Linked DNA regions of Yarrowia lipolytica. The protein of the gene in region 1 purifies or fractionates together with the protein of each later gene. This does not show direct contact. Links are inferred from orthologs where the notes say so. Each region holds a gene or a part of one and is shown in the gene's direction. Other genes may lie near its edges.

Region 1 (3,065 bases):
CCATTCGTCGAGTAATGAGCTGGTCATTGAATGCATGCTCGTGATAGTCCTGAGTGAGCACGTCCAGAAACTTGCGGTACACTCTGGGACGGAAATTGTTGAATTTCGCAATGTACGAGTGCTTGAGCCAGTCGACAGCGACTTCGGAGCCCAGCACCACTAGAGCAGGACCCAGCAGAGCCCCTAGCCATCGATTCCAGCCCGACCACGACGATGGAACGAGACCCGTATTGGAGACCTCGACCACGTTCCGGAGTCCGATGGACACCAGTAGCACCCACAACTGGAACCGCTCGGTGATATCTGCACAGGTGAGCTGGAACAGAGACTCGCGTTCAAACCGCTTAAAAACGGTCGACTTGACCTCGTTGAACTGGTTGGACAACAGCAGGGTCAGCAGCGCGTTGGAGTACGAGTTGACGGCCACGTTGAGGGTCACAATCTGGTACAGCAGCACCCCTGAATGCACAGCCGAGTAAGCCATGTACAGACCCATGTATGTCGCGAGTCGCTGGTAGTTGTTGAGGGTGCCTGCGGAAAAGAGCGACTCCAGCACATCCAGACCCCAAGCCGCACACAGTTTGTCTGTGATTTCCAGCACGTTGAACATGACGTAGAGCTTCATGGCGTTCTGGCCTCTGATGTTGTGGTAGAGCTTGGAGGTGTCAATGAGCAGCAGGAAGGTCATTGTCGAAATGACAACCACAGCCTTGATGATGTCGCTCATGTTGGTCATGGTCACGTGGCGGGTCGACCGACGTTTGGCTATGCCCCATAGTACTGAGGCCACCTTGAGAGGCATGATTGTGACCGTGTAGAGGAAGGAGTCGAGGCAAGTGAGAAATCCAAAGGCCATGATCATCTCCAGATTCAGCGGCACCTTGATAAGCGACAGCAGGTGCTCATTTTTCTCCTCGGTGTACGGCTGTTCGCCCTGGAGGTGCACCTGGAGATAGTCCCATAATGAGCGTGGAACCGGCGGGTTTTCGGGCCGTTCAAACCCCTCAAAGTCTGAAAACGACAGCCGCGGACGCGACGGAGACGACAGAGACCGCCGCGGACGTATTCGGTCGCTTTTCGCCGACGTGTTGGTTCGCCTTCGCATTGTGGGGGATTTTGCAGTGAATAGGAGATGACATCAAATTAAAGTTTCCATCTGCCTGACGTCAATAGTGAGAGGGAAATACATGGGTGGATGTGGGCGGTAATTGGTGGGGATTAGAGAGTAAAAAGCTGAATGTGGACGTTATAAGACGTTGAATTAGTCAGCAGCTTCATGTTTGAAACTTTTCTGATCAAAATTACAAATCTACACCGGATTAATACTTTGTGCTAAAAACTTCTCCAGAAACCGCAATATTGGTCGAAATCGAATTCTGAAAGTGGCAATCTGATGTGCTGACCAAGCAAGGTCGTTTTGTGTATTGAGATATCTCCCTAGTTCTCTACATGGTCCTCCAGTTGTCCCCCCGTCTCTTGTCGTATTAACGTACGTCTGGCTGCAATGCGGGTCACTGGTCTCTGTTGCAGACCATTTAAACTCAGCATCTTGACCACCTAGCAAGGCAGACGACAGCAACACGATTGAGAGTGGCGGTAAAAAAAAACCGCAAAAATCGGAAAAAAATCGAGAAAATCACGAAACCGCCGATAATCACATCCACGACGGCAACCAAACGACCGCAATTTTTCAAACGGCTTCAAATACACCCCATTTGACGCGTAATCACACCACCCACAACAACCCCCACACATTCATGTTGCAACTACGCGAGGAAATCGAAAAGCTACGAACTCGGTTTGGAAACACGGGGTCTGAGCCGCCAAACCTGCAGCTTTCTGCACTCATCACGATCGCCGTGATCGAGGCTCTGTCGGCGAAGAAAACCGACATCCAGACCTTCAAGTACGCGTCGCGATACCTCACCCCCGAGGTGTACGACGAGCTGGTTGGCGAACGCACTTACGAACACATCTGCGGGTACCCTCCGTGCGGACTGGTGCCCAAGTCTGCGTCGGGCAAAAACAAGATTCTCGGCACGCTGGCCCAGAACCAAAAGTTTGACGTGCCGTGGGCGTATCTGCGGACCTTTTGCAGCAAGCAGCACTACCAGGCGAGCCAGTTTTATCGTGCACAGCTGTCGTCGGACCCTCTGGACCTGCGAGGCAGCATCTGGGGCGACTATGGCTCGTGCAAACAGTACGAGGGCAGCATCATCCTGCTGGAGGAACTGACGTCGGACGCCCAGCAGGGCAAATCCATGGCTGAGATTGTGGAGGGGTTCACGCAGATGTCGCTCAAGGACCCCGAGCTCGCTAGGATGAACATTCCTGCCAACGGAGACGAGATCACCAAGCTGGGCAAGGAGATCCAGGAGATTTCGCTGAGAGAGCGCGAGGACGACGAGAATGACGTGGAGCCAGACTACGAGTCGTTGGAGGACATGAGTAGTAAGGATAAGGCCAGTGCTATTGAGGGCTATAAGCCGAGAATCCAGTGGAGATAGCGAGACGGATTGAGGAATCTATCATGACAGGTTGAGGCAACGTCGACATCAAGTTGTGGATTCCTGACGATAACATGAGACGGGAATCGCAACAAGATCTGAAACAGTGACAGCTGGGTTTTAGACTGGATTCGGCAACACTGACAGGTGCACCACATGTTCGACTAGAACGCCCAGCTCCACATAGCGGCTTAGACATACGCCACAGCAGGAGACAGTGGAACATTGCCCACCACTGTCACACTCTCCGAGGTGGTATAATTTCTAGTGTCTGAATGGGTGACTCTCTGGAGTTAGGTCTCCTCTCTATCTTGCGCTGTGATCTCCCAGAGTATCATCTTCTGATCTGTCAGGCTTCCAATACCGTCTCCATGAACAGGCGAGTGGTCTCATTGCAAAGTGCAGGAATTCGGCCTCCACGCTCGTCTCCTATTTATATGGCTACTAGCTGATATGGAACAAATGTATATTACGATGAGGTATAAACAAAAAAGCGACGGGTTCAGGAGTGAGTAGATACGGTAAAGGCCGTACAAAGGACTCCGTTTTTGAGCAGCT
Region 2 (3,108 bases), on another chromosome or scaffold:
TTTGAAGCCGCTAGACACTCACGTTTTTGTCGTCTGCTGATGCGAAAGATGCAAGGAAACAGAGTAGGCAAAATTCAAATTGGGCCAGCGTCATAACCTCTTACATGAGGAATGCATGACTGCATCACACAACACTATGCGACAGAAAAATGACCAACGGGCAAGATACTCACCGGAACGGTTGCTGGGGATTTTTGGGCTGTGTTAGGGTGACTCCGAAAAGAGAGCTCATTTTTTTCCAGATATTTTGGTCATAACCTGTAACCGGTTCTTAGACAGGGTCTACAACCCTAATCTGAGACACGCAGAGGCCTGCATAAAACGCTTACTCATCAGGAACAATGTAGCAGTTCATGTCCGGGCCTGGCACATACTGTAGATAGTGTTGGTAGAGACGGCCAGAGAGTATTGGACTCCTTTGGCAGTGGTTTGTAGCTCTTCACCCAGGGAAAAATCCCGTCACTTGCAGTACAACTGCCTCCGGCCACACAACAAGAGCTACAAGCTCCATAACAGACACAACTCACTCACCCAGGTAAAGGAGGTAATTCTCGACGTCTCCTTAATTCGCGGAGCTTTTCGCTCATAATGGTGGTTCAGTGGTGGCCACTAGCTCTGGAGACCTGCTTCTATTTATCCGAACCTGCCCCACCATGATTAGGTTGAAACCATGTGAATGTGCCTTAAGCGAGCTACAAGTACCGTGGGTAGAACTATTGGTGAAGGGTCCTTTTTTTGTTCTTCTTCTTGTATAGATGTATAATACAACAACAACAACACTGGATTAGAGAGCGGAGCTAATGTCCATCGCTACAATAACCAAAGATTGGTCTATAGAGATTGCGTGGATGACCATATTGGCGGGTCTAGATGCAAGGGACTTGGAGGGGACATGTATGGTGGGGTAATTGAATCTGGGGAATGGATAATAACCAGGAAAGTTGGACAGGAGAGGAAGACGCATTAGAAAGATGAAAAGCCATCAATATATTGCAATGAGTATCTGAATGAACAGGGCTGTTAACCCACATATTGTGCGTTATCACGTTTATTGTCGTTCTTGTCCATTATGGCAACTCCTGCAACTCAACCATATTGCAGAGCAAGGTGAATAATACAAAATTCATGGCAAATAAGACAACTAAGACCCTGTCGCCGGCTTGGTGACACAAGCAGAAGTGGCTGATTTCCTTTCCGATCGCTTTCAATCTTCTTTGGTCTCGACAGGGGTCAATGTCTTCGTCTATGGTAGCCTTGTTCTCGAGTCTCCATGTTAGCACTAATAAGCAGCCAGCAGAACTGTGTTACATTGGAAAGTGATGTACAATGGCTATATTGGTAATATACGTACAATTGGGTCATACTATGGAAGCCTCCAGGGCTTACAGGATCAGATCAGACTGTCATCTCGAGCGTATGATGATCGTAAGTGTCAGAACCTGAGAGCCTTTCCTGTCTTTTTTAGAACATCATAGAAGACTACAAATACTGTACGCTCACCAGTATTCAAGAAAAAATACGATTTTTCTCTGTAAATTGAACAGATCTTACAAAAAATGAACTACTTGTAAATCTTCATCAGGTTCTCATCTCCACACATGATAACTCAAAAACACGCAGACCACCGAATCGAACTCCCAGCCACTCCCAAACCCAAATTACCCTACCTGAAACATCGCGAGATTGTGTAGGCACACAGGCGTCACCGTCACTATCAGCATCAACACATACACAACCAAAAATGAACGCTCCCGATAGATTCGAGTTGTTTCTGCTTCCCGATGGAGTCCCAAAGTGAGTATCTGGCGAGAAAAAGGGACGATAAACGACGATCGTGCACCAGGGCTGCTTCTTCGACTCTCAAGACTGTTTTGGACACAGACTGATCTGATGTTCTGAAGCGATGCCAGTGTATCAGGGACGGTCAAGTGTTTACCGTGGTTCTAGGTCCGACGTAGAAATGTGCAGATTCGATCATTTTATGCTACAGTGATGATGATGGGGTCTGTACGAGAGAGACACTATCAACGAGTCTCTCTCCATGGGACGGCCTTTGTGAGCAGGCTCTTCGCCACAGCTTTCATGCTACGATGTCGTTTTTACCTCCATCGCATGTGTGACAGCGTTTTCCTCTTATCTCCCCTAACACAGACTTGAGGTCACCCCGGACACTCGAATTCCCAACTGCGCCAACATCAAGTTCGAGAAAGAAGATCACACACTGGGCAACCTGCTCCGATCACAACTGCTACACGACTCGCGGGTCATCTTTGCGGCCTACAAGGTGGAACATCCTTTATTTGCCAACTTTGTGCTGCGAATCCAGACCGAAGACGACTATTCGCCACAGGAGGCCCTCACAAATGCTTGCAACGCGTTGATCCGACAGCTGTCGGATTTGCAGGAGAAGTTCCAGCGAGAATGGCGACTGCGGTACTTGGTTAACAATTAGGTGGAAAAAGAGAAGCGCGAGTGAGCTACTTGCTTACTGACACGGATAACAAATAAACATATAGCATAATGATTGTATAATAGCAATTCTGGTACAGTAGGTACGGTAACAGCTACTTGTAGTATCTGTAAAGTCCAGGAATCACATTCAGATGAGCTACGACTCCACTCTTACAAATACATATATTAGCTAACTATACAAAAGTTTTCCTCCTTAGTCCTCCATATCAACGTCATCAGCAGGAACAGCCTCGTCGTTACTGATACTCTCAGCCATTCGCCACACCTGAATAACATTGTCCTCAGCAGCAGAAGCAATGACCCAGGGCAAAGTAGGATGCCAGTCAAAGTCGGAGATCCGCGAGCTGTGGCCTCCGTGATGGAACAGAAGCTCAGGAGGTCCCTCGTCATTTTCATCCGAGCTGAGATCGTCGTGAAGACGAGCAATATCCCACACGAGAATGGCTCGGTCGTGTCCTCCAGATGCCAGAACCGAGGGCTGGTGGGGGCACCACTGCACCTTGGTCACCTCGTCGCAATGGGAGTAGAGCTGCGAAATGGGAGTGTCCATTTTTCTCATATCCCACACCTTGACGGTCTCGTCAGCTGAGCCTGTTGCGACCAGAAACTCGCTGTGGGGGTTGAAGTCCAGCGAGT

What was found.
Region 2: the proteins of YALI1_B00280g (region 1) and YALI1_D34758g purify together in Saccharomyces cerevisiae (affinity purification with mass spectrometry; 3 studies listed by BioGRID). This does not show direct contact. The link is inferred for Yarrowia lipolytica from reciprocal best matches to the Saccharomyces cerevisiae genes RTR1 and RPB11.

Annotation. Positions count from the first base shown.
Region 1 is NC_090771.1:26,271-29,335, forward strand, and holds YALI1_B00280g (uncharacterized protein), read left to right. Parts: upstream 1-1,757; coding exon 1,758-2,507; downstream 2,508-3,065. Other genes in the region: YALI1_B00273g (uncharacterized protein), read right to left, coding at 1-1,105. UniProt on the Saccharomyces cerevisiae protein: RNA polymerase II subunit B1 C-terminal domain (CTD) phosphatase that dephosphorylates 'Ser-5' of the CTD and regulates RNA polymerase II during the transition from 'Ser-5' to 'Ser-2' phosphorylation.
Region 2 is NC_090773.1:3,474,788-3,477,895, reverse strand, and holds YALI1_D34758g (uncharacterized protein), read left to right. Parts: upstream 1-1,741; coding exon 1,742-1,794; intron 1,795-2,151; coding exon 2,152-2,452; downstream 2,453-3,108. Other genes in the region: YALI1_D34739g (uncharacterized protein), read right to left, coding at 2,666-3,108. UniProt on the Saccharomyces cerevisiae protein: DNA-dependent RNA polymerase catalyzes the transcription of DNA into RNA using the four ribonucleoside triphosphates as substrates. Component of RNA polymerase II which synthesizes mRNA precursors and many functional non-coding RNAs.